Arabidopsis thaliana: one gene and its partner. The protein of the gene in region 1 interacts with the protein of each later gene in a pairwise test. Each region holds a gene or a part of one and is shown on either strand. Other genes may lie near its edges. The genes, in order: TT16 and AGL92.

The links.
Region 2: the proteins of TT16 (region 1) and AGL92 interact in a two-hybrid assay, tested with the Arabidopsis thaliana proteins (one large-scale study listed by BioGRID).

Annotation. Positions count from the first base shown.
Region 1 is NC_003076.8:7,833,904-7,839,300, forward strand, and holds TT16 (K-box region and MADS-box transcription factor family protein), read left to right. Parts: upstream 1-2,061; 5' UTR 2,062-2,390; coding exon 2,391-2,399; intron 2,400-2,499; coding exon 2,500-2,726; intron 2,727-3,482; coding exon 3,483-3,552; intron 3,553-3,662; coding exon 3,663-3,827; intron 3,828-3,918; coding exon 3,919-3,960; intron 3,961-4,057; coding exon 4,058-4,099; intron 4,100-4,185; coding exon 4,186-4,437; 3' UTR 4,438-4,652; downstream 4,653-5,397. Other genes in the region: STP11 (sugar transporter 11), read left to right, coding at 5,229-5,364. UniProt on the Arabidopsis thaliana protein: Transcription factor involved in the developmental regulation of the endothelium and in the accumulation of proanthocyanidins (PAs) or condensed tannins which give the seed its brown pigmentation after oxidation.
Region 2 is NC_003070.9:11,322,023-11,326,329, reverse strand, and holds AGL92 (AGAMOUS-like 92), read left to right. Parts: upstream 1-2,153; coding exon 2,154-3,411; intron 3,412-3,501; coding exon 3,502-3,638; downstream 3,639-4,307. UniProt on the Arabidopsis thaliana protein: Putative transcription factor.

The DNA of each region.
Region 1 (5,397 bases):
GTTGCTAACTCATAGGATCGTGCCACGTGTCAAGTCAAACGATCAGATGTTTACATGTGTCATTCAAAATTTAACTTTTTTATTCTCTAAAAAAATAGAAAATCTTAAAAAGTAAACAAATTTACATATACTAATTTATATGTCTATATATTTATAAACAATTAACATTTATTCAAAAAAAGAAAATTAACAAATATGTGTTTAACTCATGTAATTATAAGTGAAAATAGAATATTTTGAGAAAAATAGCTTAGCTTATAAGATTTAACTTTTCAATTATTTTCATTTATTAATTTTAACTCATTTAATATTAATTTGCATGATGTAAAATTAGCTTACGAGATTACGGCATATATAAAAAATATATTTTCAACAATGTTTGGTTTCTAAATATTTTTGTGGATTTCTGATTTTCTATTAATTATTAAGCCTAGGCGTTTGGGTATTCGGATCGGGTATTTCGGGTTCGGGTTTTCGGGTTTAGAAGTTTATGACCCGTTCGGGTAATTTAAGATTTCGGGTCGGGTTCAGTTTGGGTTCGGGTTCGGGTTCGAGTTTATTTATATATTGAAATATCAAATTTTGTGTGCAAATCTATTAAATTATTTGAAATTTTCAAAAATTTCCAAAACAACACGAGTAGTTTTGATTGAATATTTCTAAAAATACACAAAAATAACTAATATATCCAAAAAAATCCTAATATTTTCTATATATAAGTATAAATGTAACTAATATATATTTATATTTGAGATATGTTTGGATACCTATTCAGGTTCTGGTTCGAGTTTTTTAGATTTTGAAGTTTAGACCCGTTCAAGTATTTAAAAATTTCAGGTACTCCCGCCTAAATAGGCGGGCCTTATCTAGTATATATATATATTTATGGCAATTAGAAACTATGAATCAAAGGATCTAGATGCCAATTTCCTTTTCAGAATTTCAGTGTTCGAGTTTCAGCATCAAATATATAGTAAATTATAATAAGAAAAAGATGTAAATGTCATCCTATTATTTAAATTTATATATTGGGAAGTAAACTTATTACCCACAACACTTTTATTGGCCTTGCTTTGTGTAGTGATGTTGTTGTATGAAGAGACACTTGTTCTTTTCTTATCGTGTTTTTTGAAACCATTTTATTAATGAAATTCAAATATACAATATTAGTGTAAGTGTGTAACTAATATGGATTGCGCTTTACAATCTTGTTTACTGAATTATGACTCGAATTGACAAGAAAAAGAAGCTATACTTTATTACATACTATAATCTAAATAAATTACACGTACATTGATGTTACTATAGAAATAAAATAAATTTTGGGGCTTGTATGTTTATGCATATATTTGATAGGCAGAGGAGTTAGGTAAAAAAAAATAAAAAGTCACTTTCAAGTATTGTTACACTTTGTCCTTTCCCATTTGGCTACTCTCTCTTTCTCTCTTTTGCCTTTTTCCTTTTGTGGTAACTTTGTTTTCCTTATAACATTATTTCATTAAGTTTCCATTTTCGTTTTTTCTCCGAATTACGTCATGCATGGCAGATCAAAGAAACTAATGTTCGATATTTTATAATTTTTTACTAAAAGGATCTTCTTCGCTAAAGAAATTACCAAACACTGCCATTACAAGTCTTGTCTAATAAAATTTCGTATTTAAGTTATTATTTGAATGTTTTGTAGCTTAAATTGTCTTTTGTGTTTGGTAGTTTGAAAATTGAGTATAAGACATCTTTGTTAACTTACTCAAAATTTAAACGAATTATTTTTTATATTTAAAATAACCTTAAAAGAAAAAATGCAAAGTGAATTAAAATATATTTTAAGAAAATTATTACTACTTTTTTAAAATTCTCTGTGAAATAAAAATAAAGAGAACATAAATATATAGAGAGGTTAAACGTGCAAATTAATGCGCACTAAGTGTATAATGCTGAAAGTAAATTATGACCACTATACGTATAATAACATTTAATTGAAACCCTAAGAAACATTGATATTATTAAATAGGTAAAGCCATTTTCACTGCCTAATTTACAGAAGACAAAAAAACCTTATACAAGAAGCAGAAGAAAGAGAAAATGAAATTAGAAAATGGTGAGCTGAAACAACACGCCACACACAGAATTATACAGAAACTAGAAAGTGTAATTAAGCATATTCTTACCCATTAATCTCTCACCTTTATTGTGTCATCCAACCTCAATCTCCGTTTCCAGATCCCCAAGAACACAGCTCAACAAAAAAGTACTTTAAAAAGACTCTCTTTCTCCCTCTATCTCTCTATATATATTTCTCACTAGCTCTTTCACACACACACACACTTTTTCTCTCTCTATCTCCTCTCTAATTCACACATCAAGATTCAAGAATCAACAACATCCTTGAAATGAATATTGTAATTAACTAATTCTAGGGTTTTCAGATTCTTGTTTTTTTTGGTTAGTTAATTAGGGTTTCTTTTAAGTTGATCTAGCTTTCATATACACTTGAATCAGGAGGAAGAGGGAGCCACTCATAAGAGGAAGAAGAGAGAGATGGGTAGAGGGAAGATAGAGATAAAGAAGATAGAGAATCAGACGGCGAGGCAAGTGACCTTCTCCAAGAGAAGAACTGGTCTTATAAAGAAGACTCGTGAGCTCTCTATTCTCTGTGACGCTCACATCGGTCTCATCGTCTTCTCAGCCACCGGAAAGCTTTCCGAGTTCTGCTCCGAACAGAACAGGTTAACTTCTTCTTCTTTCTTGAATTAGGGTTTCAGAGATCTATACATACATGTGTATGTATCCATCTAATTAATGAGGAAATGAGCTAGATATATGACTCGTGCTTGAGAACAGACAGTTTTCATCATTAGTTTCTGAAGTAGCAGGTGTCATGAGTCGTTTTTTGGATTTTCATTTGGCCCAGAAGTTAAGAATCTTTGATCCAATATTTTTGTTCTTGCAGTATTTAATTTGTATTTTCATGTATCTTATCATATTTAATACGTATGGGTCAAATTCTATATTTAATTTGTATTTGACATTTCTTGATCCAGCTTTTTCGTAATAAGACCCTAATTTTTTTTACTTATTTTTGTCACAAAAAAGACCCTAATTTATGTAGTATATTAATGTGTCATATTTACAACATAAACATACATACCGATATATATGTATAAGTCTCATGTTAATGATTCAATTTAGTACAATTATAAGTTTTAGTTCTAAGTCATGAACCAGATAAATAAGAAAATTATTCACATATAGCCATAATAGGAGAAGAAGGGTGTGCTAATAGTTTAAGCGTTGATTACACAAAAAATGGGTAAAACACCTTTTAAATTTGTTTTCTCCTAACCAATGTTTAGGCCAAAATATGGATTCTACCCTTCAGAACATTATTAGTTATTTTGATTTTTGTGTTCCTCCAGTGATTATTGAAGTCTTGACGTGTAGCATTAAAGATACTAAACTGATCACATTTTCATATTGAATAGGATGCCTCAACTCATTGACCGATACTTGCATACCAACGGATTGCGACTTCCTGATCATCATGACGACCAGGTATATATATGCACGCATACTTTTTCCTTTGTGTTACCAATTGACAACGAAGGAAATCACACATTTTCTTAAGAAACATATGATATATTCATTTGTATTTTTGTGTATAGGAGCAATTGCACCATGAGATGGAACTACTAAGAAGAGAGACATGTAACCTTGAGCTTCGTCTGCGTCCATTCCATGGACATGACTTAGCCTCCATTCCTCCTAATGAGCTTGACGGACTCGAGAGACAGCTAGAACATTCTGTCCTCAAAGTCCGTGAGCGTAAGGTAATGCAAATATATGTCCATATCTATACATATTCTTTTAAAACTATATTGGTTACACTTTTGTTTGATCTCTGCTATTAATATATTGAAGAATGAGTTAATGCAGCAACAGTTGGAGAATCTAAGCAGAAAGGTCACTCTCTAATCACTCTTTTTAAACTCTAATTTCATCTAATAATCTGATTATACCGCGTGTTTAATTATCATTACCGTGTTATGCATATGATCAGAGGAGGATGCTAGAAGAAGATAACAACAACATGTACCGTTGGGTGAGTTTGGTTACTAGCGAATGTCAATACGTTTTCACATTTACGTTGGTATAACATTTTTCTACATATACCGATGTTTCTCGCAGCTTCATGAGCATCGTGCAGCGATGGAGTTTCAACAAGCTGGGATAGATACCAAACCAGGGGAGTATCAACAGTTTATAGAGCAGCTTCAGTGCTATAAACCAGGGGAGTATCAGCAGTTTCTAGAGCAGCAGCAACAACAACCAAACAGCGTTCTTCAGCTTGCTACACTTCCTTCTGAGATTGATCCTACTTACAATCTCCAGCTTGCTCAGCCTAATCTTCAAAACGATCCAACGGCCCAGAATGATTAATACAATTCTCAATAGATATCTACTCTTTCTTTATGGAGACAGATTCATGAACTTTTATTACCTATATTTTGATAAGCCAGTGTCTTCTTTTGTGTGGCTATGGAAACCTTGTTTAAAGCACAATGCACTTGAGTTCTTGGTTATATAATTAATCATCATTATTACATATTTTCCAACTAAAGATCATCTGTTTATGTAATGAAACACCCTTGTTCTCCAAGTTATGTTTGTGAAAAAAAAAAGCTGTTGCTTTGATGTTTTGAAGTGAAGATTGGCCATTACCTGGAGACAGAGTGCAAGAGATAAGCAAAACTATTCTTAGACTATTAGCCGCAAGAAATACAAAAAATCCGGCAAATGTCTTATAGACTATTAGCCGCAAAAAAATAAAAAATAAAAAATCCCGGAAATGTCTTATAGATTACAAGCCGCAAAACTATTCTTAGATTATTAGCTGCCAAAAAAAAACATGAGGATCTTTGTAATGTCTGGTGGATTCAGACAGAGTGGATCATAATCCCGAAAAAAGCTCTTATAAAAAACTAAGCCATGATTGAAAACATTCCAATAACTTTTACAGAGGACTGCAAGAACGATCAAGAAGCAAGAAAGACGTTTCAGAAGAACAAACGTCTTCTTCTTGTTCTTCTTCTTCCTCCTCTTCTTTTTTTTGTTTTCATTACGACGAGAAAATTTGAGTTCGTGATCGCTTGAACAACCATCATCATCATCTAGAGCCCCAAAAAAGAAGAAGCTGCGGGCCGGTTATTTTGGTTAATTAGTCTAAATCCATGGCAGGAGGGGCATTTATAGACGAGAGTGGCCATGGAGGAGACTACGAAGGTCGTGTAACCGCGTTTGTCATGATAACCTGCATTGTAGCTGCAATGGGTGGTCTCCTCTTTGGTTACGACATTGGTATCTCAGGTTTGTTTCTTGCCAGCCAAGTAAACCAAAATT
Region 2 (4,307 bases), on another chromosome or scaffold:
CACGGTGAAAAGCAAATTTTTAATCCGGGAAAAAAAATTGATACGATTGATTATGATTAAATTTATTAGTCTCTTCCAGAAAATACTTTACAAAATAAGGTATATTCAAAACAAAAATGTCCAAAACCATAATCTATTTATAATATACTAGACTAGAATCATTTTAATTACTACTTTCTTGAAATCTAATTTGAATCTCAATTAGGTTACTATCCCGACTTCCATCTTTGAATGAAGCATTAGCTGTCATCTCGACAAATGATCAACTAACAGGTATTTTCACCAAGCCACTATCTTTTGCACACTTCCATTAAGTCACTAGCAAGATTGGAGTATAAGAAGTCTTCATTTAGAAGGGATCTATCTTGGTTGGATATGTACATATTATGGGCTTAAGGATAATTTGAAATTAGCACAAAGCCTTAATGAGTTTCCGTTTGTACATACTACCTAATAAGTATAACAAAATGGCAAGCTTCACTTCGTCTATCATCCCGACACTAATGAGGTTTTTTGGGTTGGATTTAAGTTCAACTGTGCCATCCGATACTAACACAAAATATTGTTAAAGGCCAATTATGCTTACTAACTCAAAGAAAATCGAACAGACCATAATTGTTTTCAATATAGCAAGTATAGAGATCAAATGGATCTTGATTACCAAAAAACTGTTCTTGTAAAAAATTTCATATACATATAACTCAATAAGGACCTATAACTTTTCAAAAGATTATTTTACCATATTTAAAAAATCTTTAACTAAACTTTTGAACATGACCTATATATATAGTTCAAACATCCTAACTAGACATATAAATAAAAATGAAAATTATTGGAGGGTCTTAATAAGATACTCCCCCATTATAATCATAACTAAAAAAAAATTTAAGATAGAAAGAAGAGAAAATTTCTCAAATAAGAACTTTGGGTATACTAACTAGAACTTTACAATTGTCTCTTTTTAATTGTTCATTTTTATTTTTAAATTAAAATTATTAAAAATATTAAGACTTTAAAAGTTGGGATACTTTTTTGGGATATGTGAAAACCATTGGAAGTGCTCTAAACCTCTTGTCAAATTTCTAGTTTCAAATATTTACAGCTCATAATTAGCTGGCAGTACAATGAATATTTTAACCAAATTAAGAAAAATATATGCTCCAAAAGGTATAATATATGCATGAATTCATAATTTATCTCTAAAATAACTGATTTTCTTTTATATCCAATCATGATTTTACACGTGTACATTAATTGATACGTTTTAATGTCATAAATAGTCATATTAGTGTATAAGTCAAAAGATGGAAAAAATCCATATATATTATTATATTAATGTATAAAGACAGTTTTACCCTTATTTCCTTTTAATTAAAATCAACTTATTGACTAAACAAAATTAGATGGACCTTCTGGCCATGGCAGATTTTTTAAAAATATTTTATTAAAAATTTAATTCATATAACTAAATCTGTGATTTTAATATTTTATAAGGAAAAATTTCTTTATTACTTTATTATTATTTTTTATATTTTATTATTGTAAAGATAAATTTTTATACATATAAAAGAGCATTTTTTATATATTAAAACATGATAGAAATTTTAATGATATTTATTATTTTATTATATTGGTTTACAAACTTTTTTCTATGTAGGCTTCCTTTAATGTCTACATATTTCAAAATTTTCGCTCGTTCTAAATATTTCGTAAGACACGTTAATTCTTTCCCGAAATAATTTTACTATAGATAAACAAAGTTCCTAAGCTTTTATATATTCATGATTTTACATGGAAATTAAGCTGTAAAACTCTATTCGAAAAGAAAAGAAAAACACTTAAAATATTAGAAATTTTCACAGTTTATCAAAGCTTAATATTACTCTTAAAAGAAAAGTGAGTAATATACGAAGATAAACTATATTTAGTAAAGAGAAAAGAGAATCCAATCTTAGTCATAGCTTTAATTAGTGGCCTAATCAATTAATAAGACAGTAGCCAAAAGATTTAATGCTGTAACTACAAATTAATGAGTCCAGAAACGTGATAAGCCACACCCTGAGTAAAAAATCACCCTTTTCGTTGCTATATAAACAGTCTTGGGCCAAGAAACTAAACAAACACAAACACCAAAGAAAAGAAAAATAAAGATAATGAGGACGAAGACTAAGTTAGTACTCATACCTGATAGACACTTTCGGAGAGCCACATTCAGGAAGAGGAATGCAGGGATAAGGAAGAAACTCCACGAGCTGACAACTCTCTGTGACATCAAAGCATGTGCGGTAATCTACAGTCCGTTCGAGAATCCAACGGTGTGGCCGTCAACCGAAGGTGTTCAAGAGGTGATTTCGGAGTTCATGGAGAAGCCGGCGACAGAACGGTCCAAGACGATGATGAGTCATGAGACTTTCTTGCGGGACCAAATCACCAAAGAACAAAACAAACTAGAGAGTCTACGTCGTGAAAACCGAGAAACTCAGCTTAAGCATTTTATGTTTGATTGCGTTGGAGGCAAGATGAGTGAGCAACAGTATGGTGCAAGGGACCTTCAAGATTTAAGTCTTTTTACTGATCAATATCTTAATCAGCTTAATGCCAGGAAGAAGTTCCTTACAGAATATGGTGAGTCTTCTTCTTCTGTTCCTCCTCTGTTTGATGTTGCGGGTGCCAATCCTCCTGTTGTTGCAGATCAAGCTGCGGTAACTGTTCCTCCTTTGTTTGCTGTTGCGGGTGCCAATCTTCCTGTTGTTGCTGATCAAGCTGCGGTAACTGTTCCTCCTCTGTTTGCTGTTGCGGGTGCCAATCTTCCTGTTGTTGCAGATCAAGCTGCGGTTAATGTTCCTACTGGATTTCATAACATGAATGTGAACCAGAATCAGTATGAGCCGGTTCAGCCCTATGTCCCTACTGGTTTTAGTGATCATATTCAATATCAGAATATGAACTTCAATCAAAACCAACAAGAGCCGGTTCATTACCAGGCTCTTGCTGTTGCGGGTGCCGGTCTTCCTATGACTCAGAATCAGTATGAGCCCGTTCACTACCAGAGTCTTGCTGTCGCGGGTGGCGGTCTTCCTATGAGTCAGTTGCAGTATGAGCCGGTTCAGCCTTATATCCCTACTGTTTTTAGTGATAATGTTCAATATCAGCATATGAATTTGTATCAAAATCAACAAGAGCCGGTTCACTACCAAGCTCTTGGTGTTGCAGGTGCCGGTCTTCCTATGAATCAGAATCAGTATGAGCCGGTTCAGCCCTATGTCCCTACTGGTTTTAGTGATCATTTTCAGTTTGAGAATATGAATTTGAATCAAAATCAACAGGAGCCGGTTCAATACCAAGCTCCTGTTGATTTTAATCATCAGATTCAACAAGGAAACTATGATATGAATTTGAACCAGAATATGAGTTTGGATCCAAATCAGTATCCGTTTCAAAATGATCCATTCATGAATATGTTGACAGAATATCCTTATGAATAAGCGGGTTATGTTGGAGAGCATGCACACATCCCTTTCATGGACGGAAACTACTACAACTACCACCAGCCACCAACCGTTGGTCTTACTTCCACCGGTCACATGCCTTCCACCACCACCACCACCACCAACAACAACAACAACAACAATGTGTGATGTGTTTCAGTAGTGTGCATTTTGTGTTTTGTTTGTTTTAAAAGACCAGTATTTAATTATGCTTTTCCTTTTCAATTAGTTGTTGTAAGAGTTGAAGGTTTTACCTTTAAGTCAGTTCTATTTCAATGAAGTCATTTCTGTTTGGTCACAAATTATTTTTTACGAGCTTTTTGTTCTTAAAATGCATAACTAAATAGATCTGCCAAAATCAGATAGGATTTTGTTTCCAAAAAACATCAATACTTTTCAAGCCTTCATTATGGTTAAATACTTATATGATTAAATATTTTGAAGAGAGTTCAGGACGGAAGTTGTATATATAGGAGGAGAAGTACCATTGAGTATATATACGAGGAGAACCATTGTTGAAATTGGTCGCAGTGAATCACTCTTGAACCGAAAAGAAGCGCTTAGAAATCAGATCAAATCCAAACACTCTAATCTTCCTCACTCGTTTCTTAATGCCACAAAGATCCAATATGGCAATGTAAACATAAACAGAACTAATTACATCTTTCTTAGTTTATGTTCTGAAACATGTCATACTTTACAATACAATTATTTGTCGATATTAAATCCTTCTTCTTTGTTTTCAGGACATTGGTCATGCATGGGCTTCTTGAAGCATATTCCCGAACACTTGCGAATCTTGCTTTCTGGATTCTTTCA